Neurospora crassa OR74A: one gene and its partners. The protein of the gene in region 4 interacts with the protein of the main gene of each other region in a biochemical or structural test. Links are inferred from orthologs where the notes say so. Each region holds a gene or a part of one and is shown on either strand. Other genes may lie near its edges.

Evidence for each region.
Region 1: the proteins of NCU08119 (region 4) and NCU04378 form a complex in vitro, tested with the Saccharomyces cerevisiae proteins (6 studies listed by BioGRID). The link is inferred for Neurospora crassa OR74A from reciprocal best matches to the Saccharomyces cerevisiae genes MCM7 and CDC45.
Region 2: the proteins of NCU08119 (region 4) and NCU02776 form a complex in vitro, tested with the Saccharomyces cerevisiae proteins (2 studies listed by BioGRID). The link is inferred for Neurospora crassa OR74A from reciprocal best matches to the Saccharomyces cerevisiae genes MCM7 and CDC6.
Region 3: the proteins of NCU08119 (region 4) and NCU01370 form a complex in vitro, tested with the Saccharomyces cerevisiae proteins (2 studies listed by BioGRID). The link is inferred for Neurospora crassa OR74A from reciprocal best matches to the Saccharomyces cerevisiae genes MCM7 and ORC2.
Region 5: the proteins of NCU08119 (region 4) and NCU02631 form a complex in vitro, tested with the Saccharomyces cerevisiae proteins (2 studies listed by BioGRID). The link is inferred for Neurospora crassa OR74A from reciprocal best matches to the Saccharomyces cerevisiae genes MCM7 and PSF1.

The regions. Positions count from the first base shown.
Region 1 is NC_026504.1:3,568,024-3,572,237, reverse strand, and holds the start of NCU04378 (DNA replication initiation factor Cdc45), read left to right. Parts: upstream 1-1,405; 5' UTR 1,406-1,763; coding exon 1,764-2,531; intron 2,532-2,583; coding exon 2,584-4,214. UniProt on the Saccharomyces cerevisiae protein: Required for initiation of chromosomal DNA replication. Acts at the origin of replication. Also has a role in minichromosome maintenance.
Region 2 is NC_026501.1:9,228,617-9,232,621, forward strand, and holds NCU02776 (cell division control protein Cdc6), read left to right. Parts: upstream 1-1,194; 5' UTR 1,195-1,341; coding exon 1,342-1,402; intron 1,403-1,465; coding exon 1,466-3,480; 3' UTR 3,481-3,871; downstream 3,872-4,005. Other genes in the region: NCU02777 (molybdenum cofactor sulfurase), read right to left, coding at 1-435, 492-573. UniProt on the Saccharomyces cerevisiae protein: Plays a crucial role in forming the pre-replicative complexes.
Region 3 is NC_026505.1:3,801,279-3,805,221, reverse strand, and holds NCU01370 (hypothetical protein), read left to right. Parts: upstream 1-1,197; 5' UTR 1,198-1,324; coding exon 1,325-3,021; intron 3,022-3,105; coding exon 3,106-3,220; 3' UTR 3,221-3,443; downstream 3,444-3,943. Other genes in the region: NCU01371 (UPF0660 protein, variant), read right to left, coding at 148-231, 298-636, 693-926. UniProt on the Saccharomyces cerevisiae protein: Component of the origin recognition complex (ORC) that binds origins of replication. It has a role in both chromosomal replication and mating type transcriptional silencing. Binds to the ARS consensus sequence (ACS) of origins of replication.
Region 4 is NC_026501.1:338,711-342,862, forward strand, and holds the start of NCU08119 (DNA replication licensing factor mcm7), read left to right. Parts: upstream 1-1,348; 5' UTR 1,349-1,454; coding exon 1,455-1,503; intron 1,504-1,638; coding exon 1,639-3,983; intron 3,984-4,152. Other genes in the region: pex1 (peroxisome biosynthesis protein), read right to left, coding at 1-225, 302-418. UniProt on the Saccharomyces cerevisiae protein: Acts as a component of the MCM2-7 complex (MCM complex) which is the putative replicative helicase essential for 'once per cell cycle' DNA replication initiation and elongation in eukaryotic cells.
Region 5 is NC_026501.1:2,993,006-2,996,596, forward strand, and holds NCU02631 (DNA replication complex GINS protein psf-1), read left to right. Parts: upstream 1-1,249; 5' UTR 1,250-1,430; coding exon 1,431-1,463; intron 1,464-1,518; coding exon 1,519-2,042; intron 2,043-2,111; coding exon 2,112-2,205; 3' UTR 2,206-3,079; downstream 3,080-3,591. UniProt on the Saccharomyces cerevisiae protein: Required for DNA replication. Functions as part of the GINS complex which plays an essential role in the initiation of DNA replication by binding to DNA replication origins and facilitating the assembly of the DNA replication machinery.

The DNA of each region.
Region 1 (4,214 bases), on a different chromosome or scaffold from region 4:
ACGGTAGACGCACCCCAGGGCAACTTACAAACCACAAGTGTTTTGAGAAGCGTGTCGATCACCTCGTTGCTGGGCCCAACCATCAGTCAGTTCCTCTGAACAGCCTCCTTCCTGCTTTGGTCAGTGAAGGCAGAGGAGCGGTCAGGTTGACCGTAGAAAAGCGTGGGCCGCAAGAGTGGCCGCCGTCGTGGCTGGCTTGGCAGGCCGGCTGGCTACTGTAGTAGCACGGATGGAGTGAAATTGAGACTGTCGCCGACGAGACGGGGCGTGGTGTGGGTGTCGTGGTGGATGGCCAGTGTTGTGAGTGGTGTCTGGTGTGCGGCAGTTGTTGTGTTGTGATCCAAGCAATGATGGAAATGTGGATTGACAAAAGAGGGACCAAACTAAACAGAGGAAGAGAAGCGAAGATGGAAGCTGGATTATAGGTCGAATCGGAAATCCGGAGACGCTGATCCGGAATCCAGGATTGGAAAGCACATCGTTAGATGGTCCCTTCCTGTGCTAGGTATTGTACTTCAATCCGCACTCTGCAATTTCGGAATAGTTCATCATCCCCGGTCCGTTCCTTCACCGCGGACCTTTCTGTGGGACATCGATGCCTGTCTGGACACCTACCTATGCTATGGTAGGAGATGGAGTGGAAAGAGCACAGCTGGTCACCCAGGTTGATAAATTAGTTCAGTTCCAGCTGTTGGGCAGCCCCACGGTGACAGTGTTCTCAGATGATTCCACGGCAACTAAAGAGTTCACTAAAATCCAGGGACATCGGCCGGCAGAAATTCTCGTGAAATTCCACGTTCGACCAGGTGGACAAGTTGCAGAAGTGGAAGCTTCTATCGCATTGCTGTCGTGCAGGAACCTTACTGGCCGTTGTTCCGTTGTCCTCTGGGCAGGCATTTGCCGGGCTATGATGTACCTACCTGGTTTACCTTATTACCTACCTACTTACTGTACCAATGCCCGTGCTTCGGTCGAGGGATGGCCGCCCCGGGGTGCCCCTGTGGCCTTGGCTGTCAGCAGCTGCCCTGGGCAATTCCACTTCGCGTTGTACCCCGCCATTTCTTGATATACTACTGTACGCAGTAGGTAGGTAGGTACTTTACCCAGCTCTACAATAGGTACCTCCCGTCTTGCCTGCCCAAAACCCAAAGCCCCACTACAAGTACGTAGAGGTACCTCTAGGTACAAGCAAACTGGTCGCTCCGGCCGCGTCCTTTCACTGCACGCTTTGTGCTGACGCCCCCCCTGCAGTCCACTGCAGTGGTTGATATCTAAGTAATGCACGCTGTGCCCGCCCTGGCACAAAACCACTTTCACAGAGTCGCGTCTCGAAGCGCGTCCGAAGCGCAGCGCTGGTTGGCCGCCCTTCCATGTCAATTAAAGGATCCTGGCCAACATCAACAAAGGAACACTCCTATCAACACCATCATCCCTCGCCCGAATTATTGTCGACCGCGACAACACTATCCGACTGACGTGCATCGCCATCACACCAGTATTTTTTTGCCATCGTATATTTCAAGCTACATAGTCCAGAGCAGAAAGCTCTTAACGCGGGGCAGGCCGCGTCGCGCATCCCCCGTCGGTTTTTTTTCTGCCCAGTGAACAGAGTTCGAAGTTAGTTACCTCGAGTAAACTACAACTGAAGTGTTCCACGCCGGCGAATATCCCACGACGACGTCGCCTCGCCGCCCCGCCTCGACAATCCGTCCCCAGCCGATTTCCCTCGCTGATCCACCCTCGATACCGATTCTCCCTTCGCAATGTATCTCCCTCGACAGCTTATATCAAAACTCTACCTCCACTTGCAAAATACCCGCCATCCACTATCGCCGCCCGTCCTCATCTTGGTCGCTCTCGAAACCGATGCGCTATGTGCCTGCCGTATCCTAACCCAACTTCTCAAACATGACTATATTCCGCACAAGATCCAGCCAGTCGCTGGCTACTCCGACCTCGAACGTGCCGGCACTGAGCTCGTCAGCCCCATGATGGAGACCCGTGGTGGTGCTGGAGGAGTCGTCGTATGCTTGGGAGTGGGTGGTATGGTTGACCTCGGCACAGTTTTGGGACTTGAGCCCGAGGGCGAAGAAAATACCTTTGGGGGTGTAGAGGTGTGGGTGATCGACTCCCATCGCCCGTGGAACTTGGGCAACGTTTTCGGCGGCTTTCCCCTCGAACCAGAGACGCAAGAGGCCAGGACATTCTCTGCGCGAACCCCCATTGGTGTCAATGGCGGCCGGATAGAGCGAGCATACAAACCAGGCAAAGGCGGCATCATTGTCATGGATGACGGCGACATTGAAGATGAGCTCTCCAAGGAACGAGATGCGTATCTGGCGCTAGTGGATATGCCCGAAATCGAAGATGATGGCCGAGACTTGGGCGACAGTGATGAAGACGAAAGCGAGAACGAGGAAGACACGGGCGATACATCGGTTGTTGCAGGCAGAAAGAGGAAATCATGGTCGGACTTCGACGAGGACGATGATGAAGACGACCGACCCAGACAGCGACGAAGAAGCAATTCGGTGAGTACATTCCGATTTCTTCATAGTAATACATCTCTCATGCCAGATACAGTCGAGTCCAATTCCAGATTCGCCTCGACGACCGCAACACCGTGGTCTCATATCTCTACGCGACGATGCCCTATTTTCCAGTGACGCGCTGGAAGCTCCGCCTGCTGCACAACCACCCAGAGGCCCTTCAGCCAACACCCTCCGACGGAGATTGCTACGACTACGACGAGAAAACGAGGGAGTTTTGCGCGAGTACTACCGACTGGGTACATCATATTCGGAGCCCATCTCGTCCATGATGTACTCCCTTGCGTCAGAACTGGGTCGTGAAGACAACGACCTGCTATGGTTAGCGATCGTTGGGGTCACGTCGATGGAGCTGTACGGCCGCTCATCTGCCGGTATTGCGGTAGCAGCTCGCAGGTCAGACGCCCGCATTTCCGGTTGGCTCGGCATGCGTGGTGCGAGAATACGGCAGCTTCTGCGAGACGAGGTCAGACGTCTCAACCCACCAGAGATAGGAAACGGCCGGGTGCTCCCCGAGACGACAGGAATTATCCCAACAACCGCTCGAAGTCCGGAGGATACCAGTATCAGGTTGTCGCCGGAGCCCAAGTTCCTGCTTATTAGGCACTGGAGTTTATACGACAGCATGCTTCACTCACCCTACCTCTTCTCTCGGCTAAAGACGTGGAGCGAGGCTGGCATGAAGCGATTACACAAGCTTCTCGCCAAGATGGGTGTCAGTCTGGTGCAGTGCAAGCAGAGTTATGCCCACATGGACATGATGTTGAAGCGCGAACTTCGCACCAAACTACTAAAATACGCGTCTCTCTACAACCTCGACGAACTTGTCCCGACCATAGACACGGACGGGAAAGATCGTGGAGGTGCCAAAGATGGATGGGGCTTTGTACGCAGTTGGGGTTGGAGGGCAACCCTGAGTGCGCAAGATGTCGGTGTCGTAGTCGGAGCCCTGTTGGAAGTGGGGAAGAACACCACTAGTGCTGATGACCTTCCTGCTGGCCCATCTCAGGATCTTCTCGACGTAGACAACAACCAGAGCCAAAGTGAGGAGTGGATCCCCAGGTTCTGGGAGGCGTATGATGCGCTGGAGGACATCGAGGCCCTTAAGGCTGGCCTTCCCACGGCGCAGTATCTACACAAGGCCATCTTCACCACTGGCACGACAATTTTGAAGAAGAAACAAATATCTCATCTGCGCGCATTTCGCATGTGCGTGGTCAAGGACTCACCAGATGCGACACTCTTCAACCACCCCGGCGCTTTGACCAAGCTAGCGCTCTGGATCGGTGAAGCACTCGCGGAACAGGAAAAAGAAGCCACTGGCGGGAGGCTCGCCCATGGCGGTCGTGGCACACCTCTCGTAGTGGCTAGTCTAGATGACAAGCGCGGAGTGTATGTTGTCGTCGGTACTGGTGGCGGCGGTGGGCCAGACACAAAGTTTCTCGATCGTGAATCGGCCAAGAAGCGAGCCGAAGAAAAAGAGGCCAAAGCTAAAGCCAAGGAGATGCAGAGAAGGATCAAGGAAAAGATCAAGGCCGAGAAGAAGGAGGCCAAGAGAAAGGAAAAAGAAGAGAAAAAGAAAGCCAAGTCCGACGCCGGCGGCGATGAGGACGAGGAGGAGGACAACGAGGAAGATAGTGACGACGACTCGGATCTCTCTGATAC
Region 2 (4,005 bases), about 8.9 Mb from region 4:
GGTAGGCGAAGAGTATCGGTCGTTCTTCGTCTTCGTTGTCGTCAAAGGGACAGCTCCCAGATAACCAGTCTTCCACCTGCCGAGTGTCCAGACAAACACTACTTCTAGCCTCTTCCCGAACTCCTACCAAGCTGGTATGGCTGGATTGATGGTAGACATAGTCAAAGCCCGTGGGCAGACATCTCATGGCTTCGACAACCAGCTTGATCCCGGCTGTGGCGTTGGCGACAAAGACGAGGTCAAAGTCGGCTGGGTCGGCGTTGAAGAACTGCAGGGCTCGGAGACGGATGTCTTGGATGCGCTGGGTTGACAGTTGGGAGGAAGCTGAGGCGGAGTGGGGGTTGCCAAAGAGGTTGGTGGTCATCTCTTGGGCGAAACGGTCCATGAGGGACTTGGGATAGGGGGTGGTGCCGGCATGGTCGAGGTAGATGGAGTCTGTTTGTTTTGTGTTAGTGGTCTGGTCAAGTTGTTGAAAACGAACTTCAACTTGCCCTTCAGCATAGGATACTCTTCTTCTCTTATCTTTTCCACGTCGGCATCGTAGCCATTGTGCTGTATGTTTAACGAACCCATCTTGGAGAACAATCAAGTATCACCAAGTCCATTAAATGACAACCGGTCAACCGAGTTTGATATTTCTGTGAGATCTCTGGGCTATCGACATGGACATCTGAACAGACACTGAGGTGGATGACTTGTCATTGCCACTTGTGGTCATGATACTTGTCGATAAACACAAGCAAAGGCACCTACGGTAGTGGCGTCGGGTATTGGAGGTTTAGTTTTCTTATACGTACCGATTCGGGAGGTCCAACGGGACGGAGATCGCCACTTTCCAGCACAGCAAAGTGAAACACAGGCGGCGGTCTCCCTGCTTCAGTGGAGGGCTCCCCTGGAATGCCCCTGTGGACACTGTGAGAATAGTGCGGGGAAGTGGATACGGATCTGGAAGAGGCCCCGCTTTGACACAAGGCACGCGCCACGAAACGAACCCTCCCTAGCCACAGTCTGTGTGGCTCATGCGCAACGGGGCTTAATTGAAACGCGCAGTGCAGCGGGGAAGCCGCGTCGAGCACCGAGCTGCAGCCCCACAAATTCGCGGTCGCGTCTCCGCAATGTGGAAGTGGAATGTGCCAGGGGTGGCAGCGCGCGAACTGGAATTCTACTTTGGTGCAGTGCGACTGGGACTGAGTGCGCAAGGTTCCTCTTTCCACCTTACAACCACACAACCACGCAAGTCCATCACCACCATCAACATCCGCGCATCGTTCTTTCCACGCGATTGCCGCTTGTCATTGTGATTGTGCATTGCGACTGGTGTTTTAGACTTGACAAAAAATCATGGCCTCACCTAGCGCACCCACGACTCTGGGAAAGAGGAGAAGGAGCACCAGACTCACAGGTGAGCAGCTGCAACTGACAACGACATTCAAGAGTTGCCATCGACATACTGACAGACCACAAGACGAGGAAATCACACTAGGCCCTCTTGCCGTAAAGCGAACAAGACGCTCTCTCCGAATCCACCCAGAGATCCACCATGAGCCCGACCACATCCAAGCAGAGAAGGAGAAGGCCGCCTCACCACCCAAGCCAACTGCCGACGAGGACGTTGAGAACCACAAGGAAAACCGCAAGCCCACAGGAGACGAGGACGAGGACAGAAAGGAGGCCGAAACACCAGCCAAGTCACTTCTCAGAAGGCGCAAATCAGTCATCGCCAGCCCGCCAAAGACAGCTCCCGTCACACCTTCCACACCACGACACTACGATGTCTTTGCAAGAGTACCAGTCACCACTCCGCGCCATCGCGTCATGTCCGTTGGCAAGCTCTCCAGGCGCATGACACCAAGCACGCCCATGACACCCGCCGCTTCTCAGACAGTCTACCATCAAGCTCGCCAACTCTTTTCTCGAAGCGCCGATCCTGGAGAGCTCATTGGACGCGACGACGAGCGCGAGAAGCTCAACACTTTCCTGGATTGCTGCACCACTGCCCATCCCAGCGGCTGCCTCTACGTCAGCGGACCTCCTGGAACCGGAAAGAGCGCCATCGTCAACAAGGTCACCGACAAGTTCGCATCCGAGACATCAACAGTGCGCAAGGCTTACATCAACTGCATGAGCATCAAGTCGTCCAAGGATCTCTACGTCACCCTTCTCGACCAGCTAGTCAGCAAAGATGAAGACAAGGAGGAACTCTCAACCGAAAGCGACGTGGTGGCAGCTCTCCAAAAGCTCATCCTGCCCAGGAAAAAGACCCAGGACGTCTTCCTCGTGGTGTTGGACGAAATCGACCACATCCTCACCCTCGACCCTGAAAGTCTCTACAGCCTCTTCGAATGGTCACTCGAAAAGAAGAACTCGCGCCTCGCCCTGATCGGCATTGCCAACGCGCTCGACCTCACCGACCGTTTCCTGCCGCGCCTCAAGTCGCGCAACCTCAAGCCTGAGCTTCTGCCCATCCTTCCATACACGGCGCCTCAGGTCAAGAACATCATCATCACACGTCTCAAGAGCCTGCTTCCTGGTGGAACACCCAAGGACCCCAACTACATACCCTTCTTCCACCCAGCCGCCATCGAGCTCTGCTCGCGCAAAGTCTCCAGCCAAACCGGCGACCTGCGCCGCGCCTTCGAGATCTGCCGCCGCGCCATCGACCTGGTCGAGTCGGAGACCCGTCTGAAGCACGAAAACGAAGTCAAGGAGCAGATGCTACAAATGTCTCCCTCCAAGAAGCGCGTCCTAGGCGAAAACACCAACCTCTCCTCGGCTCCTGCGCCTTCCTCTCTCTTCCGGAGCATCTCCACTGGACCCAGCGCCAGCGTCTCGGCCTCTTTACTCAAATCTCTGCAAGCCTTGACGCCCGCCACCGCTCCGCGCGTCAGCATCGCCGACCTCAGCAAAGTCACAGCCGCAGCATTCAGCAACGGCACCACTCAGCGTCTCAAGACGCTCAACCTCCAGCAGAAAGCCGCTCTGTGCGCTCTGGTCGCCATCGAGAAACGTAACCGCGCCGCGCAGTCGGAGGCTCTTAACTCTGCTTCAGCCAGTTTTGCATCCACTACCGGCACTCCGTCGAGGAAACAAGAGGCGCCAATTGCCCCGACAGTCAAGACTCTCTTTGAAGCTTACACCAAGCTCTGCAAACAGGACTCGCTGCTTCATCCGCTTTCGTCATCTGAGTTTCGCGAGGTGGTGTCTTCCTTGGAAACTCTCAGTTTGATCACGCCAGTGGACGGCAAGACGGGATCGTTTACTGCCTTGGGGTATAGCTCGCCTGGAGTGGGGACACCGAAGCGGGGAGGCAAGAAGAAGAAGGATGTGTTTGGGATGGGAGGCGCGTTGGTGGCGGGAGATGAGAAGAGGGTGGCTAGCTGTGTGGGGGAGAGGGAGGTCGAGCAGACTTTGCTGAAGGATGATGGGGCGGGAGTGGGGATTTTGAGGGGGATCTTGAGTGGAGAGGCGTTGGATGATTGATTGATTGTGTTTGGGATAGTATTGCAAAGTTGCTGATGATTTGGACGAGTCGGGTTTCATGAGTAGGTTGTTTTGCGTTGTTGGAGAAGGAAGCATTGTTGAGAAGTACGGACGGAGCATGGCATGGCGTGTTTGAGAGAGCATTCAAAAGTATATCATAGGGAAGGTGTTTGGATTCGTTGTAACCCAGGACAAGGGTTGGTGTTTGGCGTTTGGGTATTTGTTTGGTTTTGCGTACTTGTTTGCATTGAAGACAAAAATGGGGAGCAGGGGCACAAAAGTCCTCATCATCGGCATTAGTACCTATCCATTACATAGACCTGCCGTCGTACGTACATAGACAGACACACATTGATACACACCAAAAAATGAAGACACTTTACAAAAACCACTTTTTGACATCCATCCATCCATCCATCCATCCATCCATCCATCCATCCATCCATCCATCCATCCATCCGTCCCTTCCGGTCTTATTAGATAGGTAAAGGTAGATGTGAACAGCTCAGGAACCAAAACAATAGT
Region 3 (3,943 bases), on a different chromosome or scaffold from region 4:
TAGAGGAGAACAACGACGTCGGAACAATTAAAGAGAATGGGGCACAGATGCGAAAGAAAAGAAGAACCCACCTCAGCTACTGGGGATATGCAGAAAACATACATTACTACACGCTGTCTTCTTTCCCTGGAGAAGCACAAAATGCAGTTACTCAAAGGGGCTCACTGGCTCAGGAGCGGTATAACCACGGGATACAAGGAAGGGCGCAACAGTCCTCTCAACTCTCGACCACTATCATATCCCAGTCAGCAAAAGACTTTGGCTTATCACGCAGCTTGGTTGCAGGGTTTCACTTACGATGCTCTTCTGCTGGTGGGGAACAACTCCATCCTTGATCCAAATACCATAGCTGCCCATCATGTTGGCAAGCATCATGTCAGTGGCCAGTCGGTCTCCCACGACGGCGATCTGGTGAGGACTGGTGACACCGGTTTCCGGGTGGGCACGGAAGTAGGACATGATCTCGTCTCCACAGCCTGGCTTTTTCACACCATGGGGGAGAACAGTGATGCCGGTGGCCTTTTCAACTGCGGATGCCATCTGGCCGTCCTTGTCCCAGCTTAGGGCACCAGCAGTGTTGGAAACGATCAGAAGACGGCGTCCTGGGTATGCTGCTCGTAGAGCCTCCATGCGTTCCTTGGCTTAATCAGTCAAAGCGTTCCTGAATGGAATTGGGACGAGAGACAACCCACCTTGTAAGCCTCATACACTTCATTGTGATCAGGATAGGCAAAGCAGTCATCTTTGTCGAGCACGACAGCCTTTATGTCAACCTTCTTCTCGCCATTGCCGGAGAAGGCTTTGTTAAGAGGGATGGGCAGGTCGTTGAACGTTGGAACTGTAGCGTGGGGCAGACATAGTGAAGGCTTGGCGATAAGCTTGAAAATGTTCAATGAGGCAGACAAATTGAGATTGAGCTTTGACATATTGGTCGCGATAGTCCTCTTGGAGTTTGTTTGGTTGAGATGACATGAGGTTGCAAGAAAGCCTATGAACTCTCCCACCTATAACCCTCCCGCGAAGTACCTAGAGGTAGCGTATGTGGTGGTAGACAGGGGCTTGGCTTGCCCCCGTTAGTAGGCAGCGAACCCTGCTACCCGCAGGTACTCTCTAGCAGGTACCTGCTGTCTTCCCATCTAGAGGTAGGTAGCGTCATCCCGGGCGTATGTACAGCTTAACGCGTCTCAATTAAGCGAGCGCGTCTTGACTTTACAAAAGTTTCCCGTAGACTTCGAATTGCAGAGGTAGGGTAAAGGTACAGCGGGACTCCAAGGCATGCCATACAACTTGGACAACATAAACCAAAGCCAATAACACAAACGGTATGCCTCCTCGTCGGAAATCAACAGATCAGCACGATCTAGTCGAACGCCCCTCTCGAAAGCGGCCACTCCCTGCCGACCCCTACGAAGTTCCAGATGAGGATGATGCGGTTCCCTCCGCAAAGCGTCAACGGCGACAACCAGAAGATGGAGGAACACCTTCAAAGCGAAACGCCACCCCGCGGAAACAGGTCGATTTCCTCCAGCGCGACCTAGCCTCTGTGCCAGAAGAACCCGAGTCACCTACCGAGCAGACACCCAGCAAGAAAAGGATAGGGCGACCACCGAAGGCCAAGACGGGAGGAACACCAAGTGGCAAGCCGAGCACACCATCCGCCCTGCGCAAGAAACAAGTCGACGAGACACCGATCAAGCTCAAAGGAATCAGTGGCGTCGACACACCCGGCAGGCGAGGAATTGCCGACCGATCGGCTAGACGGAAGAGTGCCAGGGCTCTCATCGACCGTGTGCTGGAGGGCGCCGTAAGCGATGACGAGGACGAAGAGCAACAAATCGCACGAGAGATCTACGAGTCAAGCGAGGAAGAAGAGGAAGGGGACACCCAACAAGAAAACCTCGCCGACCAAGAGGCCGAGTTAGCAGCAACCACTCCATCCAAGACAGGGAGGGGGAGAGGACGAGGAGGCAGACCCCCCGGTTTAGCACGACGAAAGAAATCGCCCACACCACCCCGAGACCTCCCTCCCCATGAACAATACTTTTACCAGAACAAGCCGGGATCCAACAAAACCTCGAACAACACGCTCTCCTCGCTCGACCTCCTCATCCACGAAGAATACTTCTCGCTTCTCCGCAACCTGGGTCAGGACCCCCACGAAAAACATATCGATGCCCTCCAGTCGCAACACGCCGCCTCCTTCCCCCAATGGGCCTTTGAGCTCTCCCAAGGCTTCAGCGTCTGCCTCTACGGCTACGGCTCCAAGCGTCGACTTTTGCACCAATTCGCCGAGTACCTCTTCTCCTCCTCCGGCGGTAATGACACAAACAACACAACAATCATCATGATCAACGGGCACACCCGCACCCTCACCTTCCGCGAGATCCTCACCACCATCTCGGCCGCCATCGACCCCACCTTCCGCCTACCCTCCGGAAACCCGCTCGCCATGATCCAAAACCTCTTCACCCTCCTCTCCTCTTTTGCTCAAAAGCCAAGAATCACCCTCCTCCTAGCCTCCCTCGACTCCCCCTTCTCCCCCCTCCGCAAACCCCAAACGCAATCCCTCCTCGCCCATCTCTCCTCACACCCAGCCATCTCTCTCGCTTGCACAGTCGACACGCCCGACTTCCCTCTGCTCTGGGACTCTAGCTTACGCTCCTCGTTCAACTTTGCATTTCACGACTGCACCACTTTTGCAGACCACAGCAAAGAGTTGGACGTAGTAGACGAAGTACACGAGTTACTGGGTAGGATGGGCAAGAGAGCGGGTGGCAAGGAAGGAGTGGCGTTTGTGTTGCGGAGTTTACCCGAGAACGCGAGGAAATTGTTTGGGCTGATTGTGGGGGAGGTTTTGGTGGCTTTTGAGGACGGTGGTGGTGGTGGTGGTGGTACATCAGGGGCAGGAGACTTTGCAGCGGGAGGAGAAGGGCCGGGGGTAGAGTATAGGATGCTTTACAACAAGGCTGTGGAGGAGTTTATTTGCAGTTCGGAAATGGCGTTTAGGACGCTGCTAAAGGAGTATGTTCTTCCCTCTGTTGTGACTTGGCTGTGGAGATGATTTTCTTGGTTTTAAAGGGACAACGGCTAACAGAACGGAAACAGATTCCACGATCATCAAATCATTACGAGTCACAAGGACTCGATAGGGACGGAATACTTGAGCTTACCTTTTAGGAAAGAGGAGCTGGAGTCTATCCTGGAGGAGTTGATGTCGTAGTGATGATTGACGACGATGTATCATGACAATGCTAAGTTTTGAATCGAGATGAATGGGACACACACAGATTTGACCTGGAAGTTATCATACACACGGCAACACCCACCACATGTGTTGGAATGGAAGCCTACACATCATATCATAGTCTTAACATATCCAAAATCCTGGAAAGCTCACCGCAGAACATCAATAGCTCAAGTCTTACGATAATTACAAAGTCGAAAATGTATACTTGCCACTTCGATGTTTTGCTTGTCATGCCATGCTCTCATGATAGGTACTCGATTACCGAAAGGACCTAGTCCACTACTTTGTTTGGCCACACACACACACACACACACACACACACATCGAATCACGAGTCATCGAGCACAAAAGACATCAAGAGTATAACGAAGTTGAAATGTTTTTGATTGGATTCCTCAGTTCAGACAATTCCGTCTCGCGCGCCACGGATGCCAAGGAGACAAAAACAAGCAGCCGCCATGTCCGGGGAACTTTTCCCAAATGCCCGAGCTTCGATCTTGGTTCAACCGTATAAACCAAGCCCAAATCCCAAACTATGTCCAGGGAAAAAACAAACATTGTGCAAAAGAACACCTCCCCTTCCCAGGCCTCTGCCCGTTTAACACTCTCCTTTTTGATTAGCCCATTCGCAGATGCCCTTTTAAGCTTTTGCCCCGTGCCCGTTCAAACCCAATTAAGAACCCAAGAAGGACGCAC
Region 4 (4,152 bases):
GGTGGTGTCGATCTCGACGAGGGGGATTTCCTGGTCGCGGGACGAAGTCGAGCGTGTCCTGTCGATGCCGTGACTCCCGACCATGGGGTTGACCTTGCGCTTGCTGGGCATGCCGGTCCAGCCTACAAAGATGTTTTTGGTGACCGAGGCGGGGGCGCCTGAAGCGATGGCGTCAGGGGTCGACTGGACGCGGTAGTTGAGCTCGACGATGACATTCTGGGCGGGCTATCCATGAGGGTGGTTCTGTGTCAGCTAGTCTCCAGTGGCATTCCATGGTTCTTCTTCTGACTGGGGGTCTTACCGTGTTGACATTGGAGAGCAGGGAGGCCAGTGACGGTGGCAGGTTGACGAAGCAGTTTTGGAGATGGACCAGGGAGATTTCGGCAGCGGTAGACTGCGCGTTCTTTCTGGGAGCCATGGTGGGTGGCTGCTGTCGTCGTCGTCGTCGTCGTCGTCGTCGTCGTCCGTGTCGACTACTTGTTATGGTGGTGGTGGTGGTGGTGGTGGTGGTGATGATGCTGTCGTCGTGGTGTTTGGCATAGGCGATGATGAGATGACAGATGAAAGGGTCCTGACCGTACCTAGCGAAGGTCACTAGGTAGCTTAGTTGGCTGAGTCGACCTACTAGTCTAACAATTACACCGAACAACGGGAATCCATCCGCCCCATCAATCCCCGGGTTCTTGTTGTCTTGGGCGGAGATCCAGGGGCATGATTGGTGTTGTTTTCAGCTGATTGGGGAGAACCTGGAGCCGCGGCTGGAGCCCGATTGGAGCTTCTCCAGCTGTCCCCAGTTTGCATGTGCCGAGGCACGCCACGACCTGGTACAGGGGGTTTCGGGCATGTCCCAGCGCAGGTACAGCCGCATGGAATTGTTAGGGGAATACATGAGCATCAAGAAGCCATCATGTTGAAGGGAGAAGATATCCGGATGGAAACTGGAGAAAGAGGCCAAATCTGAGGCATTGAAACTGTATAGATGAGTACGAACGTGGGATATGAAGTATAACCTGTTTCCAGCAACTCAATGCCATGAGATGGTACTTCACTTCACACTCTTATGGTTGACATGTTATGAGGCTCAAGTCGATAATCATGTTCCTGGACAACACTGACACGCCTCCTGTATAACTCATTCCTGCCACTCACTGCCACCTGCCAGGGGCATTCTCCAGTGTCTAGAGTAGAGGTAGGGATGCATGTAAGTACCTTGGCCCATTAAAGATTCCTTTGCCGGACCGCGTCTCATCGCGACTCGAACCGCGACAGTGGAGTCAACTGAATGGACAGAGGACCCACTCTTTCATGCTCCTCCATTCAATCAATGTTGACATCCTTCGTCCAACAAAACAAAGTCGAATTCCCCATCGCAACACAACCAAAACAATCCCCAGCCAGACCTTTGACCACACACCGAGTTGCGCCATACTATCCCACCCACCACATCTCTCACCATGGCGCTCCTCAGATACCCCGCCCCCGTCGACTACGACGCGCAAATGTGTAGGTGGTGACTAAATAATTTCAATTACGACGAGGGAAAACTTTGATTTGATGATGGCTTCTCGATCGAAGCGCGGAGGATGGATTGCAAGCAAGAGGCAGGCTGGGCGCTAACCACAACGATTCGAACAACAGCCGCGTTCGAAAACTTTCTCGACGACTTCAAGACCTCGCCCCAAGACTCCATCACCCATGCGCTAGGCAACATCGACATCAACGAGGACGACCTCAGCGACGAGTATGACTTTATGGACGACGACGACGACGACGATGCCCAGCAACAGCGCCGCTCCGAAAGAGCGAGGAGACGCGCCCCCCGCCACAAGTACAAGGAGCTTCTCCAGGAACTGGCCGACCGCAAGATCAACGAGATAGTCATCGACCTGGACGACCTGCAGTCATGGGAGGAGGACGTCAACGAGGGCCTCAAGCTGGTTGAGTCGGTAGAGCGCAACACCAAGCACTACGTCGAGGTGCTCTCGCGCGCCGTCGACAAGCTGATGCCCCAAACCAGCAACGACATCACATTCAAGGACGATGTGCTCGACGTCCTCATGGCCAACCGCCAACAGCGCAACCGCACCCTCACCGAGGCCGCCGAGAACCTGCGCGACCCCGACATGCTCAACGACACATACCCCGCCCAGCTCACCCGCCGCTACACCCTCGTCTTCAAGCCCCGGACCATGACTGCTGATGGGCCCCAAAAAGCCCTGTCGGTCCGCCAAGTGCGCGGCGATCATCTCGGCCACCTGATCACCATCCGCGGTATTGCTACCCGTGTGTCCGACGTCAAGCCCATTGTCCAGGTTGGCGCCTACACGTGCGACCGCTGCGGTTGCGAAATCTTCCAGCCCGTCACCGACAAGCAGTACGCCCCCCTGACTCTCTGCCCATCCAAGGACTGCAAGGAGAACCAGGCCAAAGGTCAGCTGTACCCGTCGTCGCGGGCTTCCAAGTTCCTGCCCTTCCAGGAGATCAAGATCCAGGAACTCGCCGAGCAGGTCCCCATCGGTCAGATTCCCCGTACCCTTACCGTGCTTGCGTACGGCAGTCTGGTCAGAAATGTCCACCCCGGTGACATTGTCGACATCTCGGGAATTTTCCTCCCTACTCCTTATACCGGCTTCAAGGCCATGCGCGCCGGTCTGCTAACCGACACCTACCTCGAGGCCCACCACATTGTCCAGCACAAGAAAGCCTACACCGAGATGCAGATCGACCCCTCCCTGCTCCGCCGTATCGCCAAATTCCAACAGACCGGCAACACGTACGAGTACCTCGCCAAGTCCATCGCCCCCGAAATCTACGGCCACCTCGACGTCAAGAAGGCCCTCCTCCTTTTGTTGGTCGGCGGTGTCACTAAGGAAGTCGGCGACGGCATGAAGATCCGCGGCGACATCAACATCTGCCTGATGGGTGACCCCGGTGTGGCCAAATCGCAACTGCTCAAGTACATCTCCAAGGTAGCCCCGCGCGGCGTGTATACGTCTGGCCGCGGTTCCTCGGGCGTTGGTCTCACCGCCGCCGTAATGCGCGACCCCGTGACAGACGAAATGGTTCTCGAAGGCGGCGCCCTCGTGCTCGCCGACAACGGCATTTGCTGCATCGACGAGTTCGACAAGATGGACGACAACGACCGCACCGCCATCCACGAAGTCATGGAACAACAAACCATCTCCATCTCCAAGGCCGGCATTTCCACCACTCTCAACGCGCGCACCTCCATCCTCGCGGCCGCCAACCCGCTTTACGGGCGGTACAACACCCGTCTCTCGGCCGTCGAGAACATCAACCTCCCCGCCGCTTTACTCTCCCGTTTCGACATCATGTTCCTCCTCCTCGACACGCCCACGCGCGACACGGACGCCCAACTCGCCAAGCACGTCGCCTACGTGCACATGCACAACCGCCACCCCGACATTGGCACGGGCACCGGACCGGATTCATCCGTCTTCTCCCCCGAGGAAGTCCGTGCCTACGTCGCCAAAGCCCGCGAGTACCGCCCCGTCGTCCCGCAAGCAGTCTCCGAATACATGGTGAAAACCTACGTCCGCCTGCGCGCACAGCAGAAACGCGCAGAGAAGAAGAACCAGAACTTTGGCCATACCACGCCGCGTACTTTGCTAGGTGTCGTCCGTCTTGCGCAGGCTTTGGCTCGGCTTAGGTTCAGCAACACCGTCACGCAAGATGATGTTGATGAAGCTCTCCGTCTCGTGGAAGCTAGCAAGGAGTCGTTGGCGCAGGATGATAGGAATACTGGCAATAAGAGGGCAATGAATGCTAGTAGTAGGATTTATAACCTTGTGAAGGGGTTGGCGGATAGTGGAGCGTGCAGACCTGATGATACCCCAGAAGAGGAAGAAGAAGATGAGTTTGGGGTGGAGATGAGTTTGAGAAAGGTCAAGGAACGGGTGATTGCCAAGGGCTTTACGGAGCAGCAGTGGTTGAGTGCGTTGGATGAGTATACTGATTTGGATGTGAGTTTTCTTTTGCCCCCTTTTTTTTACTTTCTCTTCTTTTTTTTTTTTCCTTTCTTTTGTTCCTTTTTCTTTCCTTTTCCCCTTCTAGTCTTTCTTTCCCCTTTCTTTTTTTCCCCTTCTTTTCTTACCCTTTCGTACTTCCATTCTTTCCCCTTTCTGTCTTTTT
Region 5 (3,591 bases), about 2.7 Mb from region 4:
ACTTCCAGTGGCACTGACGCCGTGAAGCTGGGGGAGAGCTTAGGTACCTACCTACATACAGGGCAGTACTTAGCTCCTTATCTTATCGGAGCTTCCATGTAGGTCCCGTCTTCACGATGGAGTCTTCGGTCAGTTCGGTGGGTTCCTGTGCCTGGTCTGTGCACTGTCTGTATTTAATGGCCAGGAAATTTTTCGCTGTGTGAAATTCTCCCCGTTTTGGTTCTTCGTGTGCAACCGCCGCGTTTGAACAGCGCCATTGTGGGAGACATCAGAGAGAATGGCTCCAAATTGCTAAAAGCTGGCAATGCCAGAAGTACGCCGCGTCGGTGTCTGTCATTAGTGTAAGTTCTAGCACCTTGTTTGATATTCTCCTTCCCTACTCCTCCGTTACCGGTACTCCCACGCCCATCCCGTGATGATCGAATTGGTCCGTGTTACCAAGCAGACTTAAGACCTCTGCAGATGACGACGAAACCAGCATTTATGCGACTCTGACCCTTTTGGCATCTCATTCAACTTGGAATATTGCTTCTTTTTCGCAGCTCTTGAGCTAACTCATGAATCGTAGTTGTTGTATCTTTGCGCATGCCGAGTGCTTGTCCAATGGAGCAGCCCATCTGAAGTTGGAATTTGGCAACCCTACGGAGCCTAGTGTAGTCTTTCCTCGTCACCATTACCGATTGTCCGGTGCGTTATGGGCGGGTGGGAGTATCAAGGTGGTCCGAGAAGGTTGCTGGTTTCAACAGTTGATAGATTATATCGTGTTTGCTTAGCAATAGTTTATTGAATATTTCTTAACTGTTCAAGGGCTTAATGCTAGTAACTTTTGGACGTAGGGGCATGTAGAATGTGTGCACCATGTGCGAAGGCACTCCGATTCTTCACATGTATCTCTGAACTGGTATCGGCTTCAGGAAATGAGACGTTCGTTTCAAAGGTACGGTGGCCTGTACTGCGGCCTTTGCCCATGAGAAGAAGCATCACCCTTCAACTACCTCTGTACGTCTTGCTTTATGAATATCCCTATTCTTGTCGCCGACGTTAGTGAATGCCCTGACTGCACGTATGCCTTGGGACACGCCGTATGCAGCTGGTTGAGAGGGAATGGGACGAAGAAAATGTTCGGATACACGTACCTCTACTGCGTATTCTGCTTCGGGTTAGGGCTGTCCGAGGACTTTTGATGCCCACCCCGCGTTCAAGTGCAGTGCTTAGACCATCTTGTAGCGCCTATCTGCCTAACAACGCTTGATATGCTAGTGGCCATAGAACGGTTTCACATCCAGACGGAACCTCGAACTTCACCCGCCTGGCTGTTCGAGAAAACGACGCGACGTGAGACGCGTCAGAAAATAGACACATAGTCAATTCCACTATCACACCTTTCAGCTTCGAACTGTCCAAAGAGGCACTTAAGCCACGTCGAAAACATGCCCATGTACGGTGACTTGGGTAACAAACTGGTTTGTGCAAGCTCACTGCATCCTCCCTGGATACGAACACTCACACCATCACCAGGTCCAGCATGCCAAGAGGACACAGAACTTGAGCCATCTTCCACCTTATCAGACCGAGCTTGTCCGTGCAGTGGCCCGAGAAATCCGGGATCTTGACAAAGACGTCGCCAGTTTACTTGAACCTTTCCAGGGGTCATTTGATCCTTCCGCCGAACAGGCCACCGCGTGCACGCTGCTGGTCAACCACCTTTCAATGCGAAGGAACAAGCGCTGTCTGCTCGCCTATCACCGAATCCGAACAGACAAGCTCGAGGAGCTGGTGTGGAATGGAGCCGATATCCTCGACCTTGCCGGCCAGACGACAGGAGGGCCCAAGGGCGTGACGGAGGGCAATGAAGGGGGCGGGACCACCAGCAGTCTTAGTCCCCAGGAAGAGGATTATTTTCGACAGTTTGGAGATTTGTTGGCCCTCTACAAAGGCCAATGGACGGATATCGATCTCACAGGCAGTCTCGAACCCCCACGAGACCTTTTTATCGACGTCCGAGTGTTGAAGGATGCGGGCGAGATCCAAACCGAATATGGGTAAGCTACGCTACAGATGGAGGAATAGATGATGGCTTTGGTTCCACGCTAACTAACGCATGTCTAAAGGGCGATCAACCTGACAAAGAACAGTCAATTCTATGTCCGGCAAGGAGATGTGGAGCGTCTGATTGTGCAGGGATATTTGCAAAAGCTGGGTTGAACAATATCGACCTGGCATCGATGATTTGAGACCGGAGCTTGTTGCTGCAGACCAGCAATGGAAAACTGCTATCGGCAGCGGTTGCCGACAGGTTGACAGACCCCTCGCTCTTTCCTGACCATTGACGGCGTGGCGCCTTCCGAACAGTACCGGAGAGGGAGTGACGGACTCAATGGCTTCGACCAGAAGCCATATGCAATGGTCATTGATCAGCAGCTAGATGTTGGAGGGAGCGCAAAGGACCGACTCAAAAGGGTTGCGCCGCACACACAGAGCTGACCAGTCCTTGTACTACGACGACGGCCAAAGGTGACTTCAACCAAATATTTTGAGTCTCTGTGGGGCAAGGAGTTACCATCTACTTTTTCTCAATGGCTGGACCATTGATGAAGGTTTGAGAAGTGCTTGCATCGACAAGGGACCATGAGCCCACAACCAGACGGTAGCACAGTTTGTAAGTTGCGGGAAGGATGAGGGAAAGGTTACTTTGACGGCCAGACCATTGATTCAGGAACCCACACGGAATTGCCGCGGTGGACGACGGCCGAACGTCGAGGCTGGAGTGACAGCCAGCAAGGGGTTTCACAAGGCCCTTCAAATTTTTTCACCAACCAGTGGCCAAGTTTTCTGGCATGGCAACACTGTGTTTGTGGCGGCTGATAACATCCTTTTTTCAGTATATTGTTTCGTTGATGGCAGATACTGAGAATCAACCCGAGTAAAGAGAAGAGGTACTGACTAGTCCTTGATTTGTCAAACTACAGCTAATAGGGCCCATCTGAAGAAGGCGATAAGAACAGTCATAGGGTTATGTAAACTTTTGACCGTTATTGCCGTGTGCTCGCTGTCAGTCTGTCACACGTGGAGCTGAATGATAGTTACTGGGGTGCAGTGTTCAATTTCAAAAAAGAGAAACCAATTCGCACTGGGAAGGCTGCTTGGTGGAACAAGGATTACATCATGCAGATGACGCCTTTCCCTTCCACGGCCTCAACCCCACCATGGCCAGCTAAAACAACAGGTCCAGGCCATCCAGCAACTGCTAGGTAGTATCATTGGCTTTCAACTGATCAATTGAGACCATATCAGTTCTTGTTCAGTCTTCCTCCGGCGCTAGGTACGATAGACGCTACGACGCACGACGGGACAACATGGAAACCCCGAACCGTCGAAGCTTATGTACATACTAGTCATCAGATATCCCGCCCGACGAAGTCTTTGCAGGCGGGGCCAAAGAGTTCCGGCCGGATGCAGCATGGCGCGGTCGGTGCTTCTTGTATGTTGCTGTCGACAAGATTGCTCCATAGAATTTTGCTTCTCACCACCGGCCTGTACTCCTCGAATCGCCTCCAGCCGAGGACGGACCTTCTACGATAGCTCGGCCTG